Callithrix jacchus: one gene and its partner. The protein of the gene in region 1 interacts with the protein of each later gene in a pairwise test. Links are inferred from orthologs where the notes say so. Each region holds a gene or a part of one and is shown on either strand. Other genes may lie near its edges.

Evidence for each region. The genes of interacting proteins can lie anywhere in the genome.
Region 2: the proteins of MAPK3 (region 1) and DCC interact in a two-hybrid assay, tested with the Homo sapiens proteins (2 studies listed by BioGRID). The link is inferred for Callithrix jacchus from reciprocal best matches to the Homo sapiens genes MAPK3 and DCC.

The regions. Positions count from the first base shown.
Region 1 is NC_133513.1:29,404,963-29,409,857, reverse strand, and holds the start of MAPK3 (mitogen-activated protein kinase 3), read right to left. Parts: upstream 2,960-4,895; 5' UTR 2,925-2,959; coding exon 2,746-2,924; intron 1,738-2,745; coding exon 1,555-1,737; intron 1-1,554.
Region 2 is NC_133514.1:95,950,404-95,954,671, forward strand, and holds part of DCC (netrin receptor DCC), read left to right. Parts: intron 1-141; coding exon 142-462; intron 463-4,268. UniProt on the Homo sapiens protein: Receptor for netrin required for axon guidance. Mediates axon attraction of neuronal growth cones in the developing nervous system upon ligand binding. Its association with UNC5 proteins may trigger signaling for axon repulsion.

The DNA of each region.
Region 1 (4,895 bases):
GGTGATTAGGGTGCTGCTTGGAGTGAGAAGTCCTAGAGGAAGGACAACTTCCCATCTGGGGGAGGGGAGGAGGAGACAGCAAGAGAAACACTTGATTTTAGGTTTTCTGGGTCTTAGCTTCCTCATTTTTTTTTTTTTTTTTGAGACAGGGTCATTCTCTGTCCCCCAGGCTGGAGTACAGTAGCACAATCACAGCCCACTGCAGCCTCTAACTCCTGAGCTCAAGCCATTCTCCTGCCTCAGCCTCCCAAGTAGCTGGGACTACAATTGTGCACCACCAAACCTGGTTAATTTTTAAATTTTCTGTAGAGATGGGGTCTCACTATGCTGCCCAGGCTGGTCTTGAACTCCTGGTCTCCAGCAATCTTCCAGTCTTGGCCTCCCAAAGTGTTGGGACTACAGACGTGAGCCATTGCTCTCCACCCCTCATCTTTGAAATGGAGCTGAAGGCCGGATGCAGTGGCTCATGCCTGTAATCCCAGCACTTTGGGAGGCCAAGGCGGGTGGATCACAAGGTCAAGAGATTGAGACCATCCTGGTCAACATGTTGAAACCCCGTCTCTACTAAAAATACAAAAATTAGCTGGGCATGGTGGTGCGCACCCGTAGTCCCAGCTACTCGGGAGGCTGAGGCAGGAGAATTGCTTGAACCCAGGAGGCAGAGGTTGCGGTGAGCTGAGATCGTGCCATTGCACTCCAACCTGGGTAACAAGAGTGAAACTCCGTCTCAAAAAAAAAAAAAAAAAAAAAATGGAGCTGAAAAACCCATCTCATAGGATAGCTGGAAGGTGTAATAGCAAAATAAATAAATAAAGCACTGGGCATATATAGTACCTGACCCACAATAGGCCCTCAAGAAAGGTAGTTTTTTTGTTTTTTTTGAGACAGAGTCTTGCTCTGTCACCCAGTCTGGGATGTAATGCCATGATCTTGGCTCACTGTCCACCTCCTGGGTTCAAGTGATTCTCCTACCCCTGCCTCCAGAGTAGCTGGCCCGGCTATATATATTTTTTTTTTCTGTATTTTTAGTAGAGATGGGGTTTTACAATGTTACCATGTTGGCCAGGCTGGTCTCCAACTCCTGACCTCAAGTAATCCACCTGCCTTGGCCTCCCAAAGTGCTGGAATTACAGGCGTGAGCCACTGCACCCGGCTGACAGCTTTCTTTCTCCCTGTCTCCCTTCCAGTCTGGGGAAAGAGAAAAGAGAGAAAAGAATCGTCCATTTGTTATCAAGAAGTGACTGTGGGCTGTGGCCGGGTCATGTCTCAGAACTGCAGATGTCAGAAGACAACACTCCCATAGAGACCATCCTGCCCAGCTCTCCCCCTGGGGCACAGAGCAGAGAACCGACTTGCTCAAGGCCATACTGCCCGGCTGCCACAGGCCTGGATTCATCAGAGGCCTCCAAGTCCTGTTACACTGTGGCCTCTCCTCTGCAGGAAAGTTTATTTTACTGGGTTTTTTTTGGAGGATGGTGGGGAAGATGGAAACAGAAAGCAAGTGATGGTTCCCCAGCCCAGCTCGGAGGCCATGAAGGCCAAGGTGAAGGATACACATCCCTCATGGCTTCCAGGGTGGACGCCCGAAGAATGTCTCGGATGCCGATGACATTCTCATGGCGAAAGCGCAGCAGGATCTGGATCTCCCGGAGCGTGCGCTGGCAGTAGGTCTGATGCTCGAAGGGGCTGATCTTCTTGATGGCCACTCGAGTCTTGCGCACGTGGTCATAGGCCGAGCTGAGGGGACCAGAGAGAGGCTGCTGCTGTGGCCTTACAAAGTGGGAGTCCAGGCCTGGTGGCCCCACCCAGGCCTTGGCAGGGAGGGGAGGGAGCAGGAGCTGGCTCTGGCCAATTCATAAACAATGCTGGTTCCTTCCTGCTGTGGAGGCCTGGGATCTCTAGAGAGAAAGCTGGGGACCAGCCAGGCGCCCCTGCGGTGACTTTACAAACAGAGGAAGAGACTGACCACTCACTGACTTCCCCTCTCCTCAATCCCCTTTCATTCTAGTGGCCCTGAACCCTTCACCCCACTTCCCAGGAAAGGCTCCTTAACCCAAGACAGGTCCAGGGGTGCAGATGCTGGGACCACACCATGGGGCAAACACAGTGGGAAAGCAGCAGCCAGGGAATGGACAGGGCAGGGGAGGGTCCCAGAGTGAGGGGCCCAGGCAGCCAGGCTGTCCCAGAGCACATGGAGGGGCGGGGGGCACTCACAGACCCCTCCCAAAACATGCAGGTGGCACTCCTGGCCCCTTCATCCCTCACTGAGCCCCTGGTGGTGGTGGGAAGGGAGGGCCAAAGCCCTGCCACACCCTGATCTCTGTTCTTCTCCCCCAGGCTTCCAAGCACTGCCTCACAGGGAATCCAAGACACCCTTTCCCCCAGAACGACCCTCCACTGCCCCTTCACTAAGGATGTCGCCTCCCCGAGAGTACTCATCCTCTGGGCCTTGCCCCGTGTCTCTAGGGTCCCGGCAGTCCCCCACATGCACTCAGATGCCCCTCCCGTCATTACGGAGTGCTGGACTCAAAGCTCCAAGCCCCCTCCTCTGAGGACGTAGCAGCGACCCCTCCCCCAGAAAGCATTCAGGGACCCCTCCCTGGGACGCTCCCGATCATCCCGAGTCCCCGGCCTCCTCGGGACGCTCCGCGTCTCCACGTCCTGGAAAGCGCTCGGCGCCTCCCCCTCCTCTCCCGCGAAGCCCCCTCCCCCGAGGGCGCCCCCTCCCCCGGAACGCCCCCTCACCTGACCATGCCGTAAGCGCCCTCGCCGATGTACTGCAGCTGCGTGTAGCGCGGGCCCACGTCGAACGGCTGCCCCTTCACCATTTCCACTTCCCCCGGGACCCCCGGGCCGACCCCCTCGGCTCTCCGGGGCTCCCCGCCCCCGCCCCCCTGAGCCGCCGCCGCCGCCGCCGCCGCCATCTCCACTCCTCCCCTCCCGCCGCCCTCCTCCCCTCAGCGGCCCCGCCCGAGGCCCCGCCCCTTCCCGCCCGCCTGTCACCCGCGGGGCCGCGCGCGCCAGGCCCCGCCCCCGCCCCGCCCCCGCGCGCCCCCGACCCCAGGCGGGCCCGGGGCTGTCACGTGAGCCGCCCTGCGCGCGCCTGCCCTTCCAGCCCTAGGTGCGCGGGCCTTGGATCCCTGCTGGTTCCGTGGCCTCCAGGCCACGGGAAGGCTCAGCAGCGCGGCCTCGGAGATCGTCTTCACCCTCTCCTCGATGATGAAGCGGCCAGCGCGTGACCTCCCAGAGCCAGCCAGCCAATGTGTGCGGGAGCCCACCAGAACCTGGGCCCGGGATCACCCTAGATCAAAAAAATGTTCGAATAAATGAATCAAATTTTACAGATCGGCAATCTGTGAGTTGGGTTAACTAACTTGGGTAAGGTCCCTAGTAATGACAGACGTGAGACTCAAAATGATGTCTTTTGACACAGAGGCTCTTTATAATTCCATGCCTCTCAAAATCCTATACTGTTTTTTTCTTTTAGAGACAGGGTCTCGCTCTGTCGTCCAGGCTGGAGTGTAGTGGTGCAATCATAGCTCACTGCAGCCTCGAGTGATTGGGGTCAAGCGATCCTTCAACCTCAGCCTCCCGAAGAGCCGGGACTACGAGTGGACAACACCATGCCCTGCTAATTAAAAAATTTTGGGGGGTTCCGGCACGGTAGCTCACGCCTATAATCCCAGCACTTTGAGAGGCCGAGTTGGGCGGATAACTTGAGGTCAGGAGTTTCAGACCGGCCTGGCCAACGTGGTGAAACCCGTGTCTACTAAACATACAAAAATTATTGGGGCCTGATGGTGGGCGCCTGTAATCCCAGCTACTCAGTAGGTGGAGGCAGGAGAATTGCTTGAACCCAGGAGGCAGAGGTTGCAGCAGTGAGCCAAGATCGCCCACTGCACTCCAGCCTGGGTGACAAAGCAAGGCGATTCCATCTCAAAAAAAAAGAAAAGAAAATATGTTTTTTTGGTGGGTAGAGACTGGGTCTTGCTATGTTGCCCAGGCTGGTCTGAAACTCTGACTTCAAGGAATCCTCCCACCTTGGCCTCCCAAAGCTCTGGGATCACACCTGTCCATCTCAGACTATTACAACTGAAGAAAGGGCCCTCCGAGACCATCCAGTCCACCCCCCTCTTTCACATCGAAGATGTGAGCTGCAAGCTTTACAAAAACACACAGCTCCCAGGCTTCAGTAAGTAATCATGTTGTGGGTTCTTTTGTTGTTTTTTTTTGTCCCTGAGAAGCTGGGAGTAGGTCCTTGATGCATTACAGATCAAGAGACAAAATGGAACAGTAATTATGATTCTGAAATCGCTTATAATTAGATCCACAGCCAGGCAGTCTCACTCAGATTAAGGAGACTGAGTTTCTGATTCCCAGTAGCCCATAGGTCAGTAAAGGTTCAAGAGGTGCTAATTAGATCAATGAGTTTTTTTAGTTATTCATTTGATAAACCATTGCATGGCCCTGTGTGCAAAGCTCTGAGCTAGGTACTGGGGCTGATAAAGGATTACTGGATAGTATGAATCTGTGCTTAAGAGTAAAAACACCCTGGAGCCTGATTGCCTGGACTAGAATCTCATCTTTCAAGTTCAAGTTGAATGAGGAATAAGAAAAAGAAGAAAAAATGAATCACGTCTTTGCCACTCACTTAACTTGTGTTACCCTTGGCAAATTACCTACTGTCTTCTAGTAGAGGCCTCCACTCTATTGAAGAGAGAAAATATGTAAATCAATTTAGATCCCAGTGCAGTGACTCACTTTCAGTGCTCTGTTTAGGAGGCCGAGGCAGGAGGATCACTTGAGCCCGGGGAATTGGAGTCTGCAGTGAGCTATGATTGCACCACTGCACTCCAGTCAGGGTGAGAGTGAGAAACCTGTCTCTACTTCTTTCT
Region 2 (4,268 bases), on another chromosome or scaffold:
TGATGTTAGTTTTTATTTGTTCTTGGACATTTTTCAAAGCCCTCAACTTTTTTGAGAAGATTTGTAAAGAAAAGATGGGGAATCTAAGCCTGAGATTCGTTTGAATGCATGAACGTATTTCCCTTTGCTCTCTTGTTCCAGGTTTTCAAATTAAAGCTTTCACAGCACTGCGCTTCCTCTCAGAACCTTCTGATGCCATCACGATGCGAGGAGGAAACGTCCTCCTGGACTGCTCTGCAGAGTCTGACCGAGGAGTTCCAGTGATCAAGTGGAGAAAAGATGGCATCCATCTAGCCTTGGGAATGGACGAAAGGAAGCAGCAACTTTCAAATGGGTCTCTGTTGATACAAAACATACTTCATTCCAGACACCACAAGCCAGATGAGGGACTTTACCAATGTGAGGCATCTTTAGGAGATTCTGGGTCAATTGTTAGTCGGACAGCAAAAGTTGCAGTAGCAGGTAGGTGGATTCTTCTTTCTCTTTCTCCTCCTCTCTCCTCTCTTCTTCTTATTCTCTTTTGAAAATAAGAAAATAATTTTTGAAGAAATAATATACATTTTTAAAATAGTTTACATTTTAAATTGACCAATAATTATATATTTTTATGAGGTACAATGTCATGTTTTGATGTATGTATACATCATGGAGTGATTATATCAAGCTAATTAACATATCTGTCACCACATACCTCTTTTCTTTGGTGAGAACATTTAAAATCTACTCTTTTAGCAATTTTGATATATACTATGCTGTACAGTGGATATTAAAAGCTTATTTCTCCTCTCTAACTGAAACCTTTTACCCTGTAACAAACATCTTTCCATTCCCTACCACGCCCCATCCTCCCAAGCCTCTGGTAACCATTCGGCTCTCTGCTTCTATGAATTTGACTTTTTGATAATAGATTCTACCTGTAAGTGAGATAATACAACATGTTTCTTTCAGTGTCTAGTGTATTTCCTTTAGCATAGTATCCCCTAGGTCCATCTGTATTATCACAAATAACAGGATGTACTCATTTTTAAGGCTGAATAATATTCCATTGTGTGTGTGTATGTGTGTGTGCATAGATAGATAGATAGATGTGATAATATATATCACATTTTCTTCACCCATTCACTCATTAATGCTTGATTCCATATCTTGGCTATTATGAATAATGCTGCAATTAACATGGGGTGTAGATATCTCTTATATGTCCTGATTTCAATTCCTTTGGATATATACCTGTAAGTGGGATTGCTGCATCATATGGTAATTCTAATTCTAGTTTTTGAGAGAGCTACATAACCATTTTTCATAATGGCTGTCTAACTTTTACTTTTATCAAGAATGCATGTTTTTAAGAAAAAGGAAAGATTTAAAGAGATTCATGTTTATTCTCTCATGGTTTTGACTGACCTTTTTCCTTAAATTAGCTTAGAAAACAGTCATAGGATCTCAAATGGCAGCATAAACTTATGAGATTTTTTTTTTAAGGCAAAACTGTTTCAAGTTGACTTACTACCTATATCTGCAGAAGTAATTATTATTAATAGAAACATATAAAAAATAATTTCCTAATATTATTTTATAGTTTTATTAAATGCTAAACTTTTGTAGAGTCATTTTTTTTTTTTTGGTTGGGTCTTAAGAACAGTGAATTTTATTTTAATTACAGTGGCAAGGCCTACAACATCTATATCTCAAGTGAGAAATAAAATTCCCTCTAGTGCTTCCAAATTTCTTGATGTTTAGTAACATGTTGGCCCAACAGCTGAGTAATAAGATGAACAGTTTTTCTTTTCATCTGGATACACTGAAGTCATGTAGACCCTGACAAAATGGTACTGACCATTCTGGAATCCATGATATTGCTATTTCTACCCCATTCTTCTGGTTAGAAGAAGCTTATAATTATTTCTGTTGGCTCCTGAAATGTTAGACCTACCATAGTGAAGAAAAAGTTTTTTTACTTGTTTCTATAATGATTTGACCAAAAGCTGTTTTTTTTTTTTTAATTTTTGTACTTGATCATAAAGCCAGGCAAGCAGATCCAACCTGAAATCAATTTAAGCTATCAATGGGTAAGCAGATTTACAGGGCTGCTTTCAACTAATCTTCAGTTCTCAGTAAAAACAAAATTGAATCATAAGCAATGTAATCATTTGTTCTGGGTTTTTCCCCCAGATCCTACTTAGTCTAGTCTCAACTTTGGAAGATGGATAAGAATGATAACTCGTTTTCACCAATAACAGGACAATTGTGCAGAATCACCACTCCCTCATACACTCCTAGTAAGGGTTTGAGAAAGTTGAAATCTGAGAGAGGTGATTTTGTCAAGTGGTGCTATAAAGAATTACATCTCATAGATATGCAATTAACCTCCATATCTAGCTTCAGACCACTCCTTGTCTCCACTAAGAATTCTGTAGACTGAATGTTTTATCTCCCTAAAATTTGTATATTGAAATTCTAACCCCCAATGTGATAGTATTGGGAGGTGGAGCCTTTGGGAAATAATTAGATCATGAGGGTGGAGCCCTCATGAATGTGATTAGTGCCCTTATAAAAGGAACCACAGAACACTCTTGCTCTTTTCACCACATGAGGATACAATGAGAATTCTGTAATCTGCAACCCAGAAGAGGACTCTCATCAGAAATCAGTCATACTGGCACCCTGCTCTCAAGTTTCCAGCCTCCAGAACTTTGAGAAATCAATGTTTGTTGTTTACAGGTCACTTAGTCCACAGTGCTTTGTGGTGTCCACCCAAACTGATGAAGGCAGAGTTTTCCATAGTCAGTTAAACCAGATTTTACCTAAGGTAGAGTGGCTAACTATTATTATTTTCTCAGGACTCACCTGTTTTAGCATTTGACAGTCCCATATCCTGGGAAGCCTCCTCAGTGCCATGTAAAACTAGGATGGTGGGTCACTCTACCTTGAGGTGCCCCGTGTCTGCTTTGGCAATGACTGACTGTGGTACAGATGCAGAAAATCCCCTCTACTCAGGAGACAGGCCAGGTGACATCCTAATCATGAAAATCAAGGCTACACGGTAACTGGAACCTTTGAGTGATGGGTGTCTGAAATTTGATTGATGAGCATAAAGTGTAGAGAGAACTGAATGTTGATGTTAATTATGATTGATTAAGAGAAAGAAGTGGAATAAATGCTGCATATTAGGCAAAAGCCACTTTCTCAGAATGCTCCAAATGAAGTGGAAAGGGGACAATTTGACTTTCTGTCACTTGAGAATTTCTGGCCTCATAGATCCCACCCATCAGTTGATCCCAAGGCCAGAGGAGCTCTGCTGATTTGAATGAAGCAGGCTGGCATTTTGATGCCTTATTACGAAAGGCAGCTGCCTATGCACTGCTAATGAAAATGGCCTGTTACATTGCAGTGTCAGTCTTCCCACAATCCACATTCACTTTTTCATGTTCTGTCTTTCAGTAGTGAAATGAAGAACAATTCCTTCTCTGTGAGATATTAAAATACAGTGGTTTGGACTTTAGCATTCCGTACAAGGAAATGCTCACGGATTCAGTCACTGAATTACAATCTCATATTAGATTGTATCATTTCAAGGCAATAAGGCTGCTCACAGCATTTTAAACACTTACCATGCTGTTTGGCAACACAGAATACATCAATGTTATGTCTGCTGAGGTTAAGATTGCCAAACCACTAGAATTCACATGGGGCATATCTCTTCCCGGTAATAAAGACCATAGACCTGATTTAATCTCATTTTTAAAGCATTAGCAGTCAATAAAGCAGTCACCACTAAATGGTAACAGTAGGCTTTGCTTGGGTAAAACAAAAAAAAATGTTTTGTACTCTCAGGTGCTATATAGAGCCCATATTAAATAATGTCCCTCTTCCATTTTTGCTTTCTCCAAGTGTCTTTTGATAAAAAGAAGTGTAGCAAATGAAATCTGTCTTTAATCAGTCAGCACATTTCGTGCAGTGATCTTGCCATGCACCATTCATTCTATCCTTCTAGGAGCTTTTCAAGGGCTCTTTAAGCCTGGAGTGCACACTTGGCTGGAGAGGGAAGGAGAGTGGGAAAGATAAACAAAGAACTATCATTCCATCCAACCTTTTGTTAAAAGTTGCAATGTAACAGGCTACTGACTATCAGTATTTCTAGTCATTTTGAGTTCTATTGTAAAGAATGCCTAGGTTATTAAATCTCCATTTGAAAGCAACTTCACCAGACTAGCTGAAATGTGGGCATTTTATTTGTATCCAATTAGCTCTAATCTAAAATGCTGCAG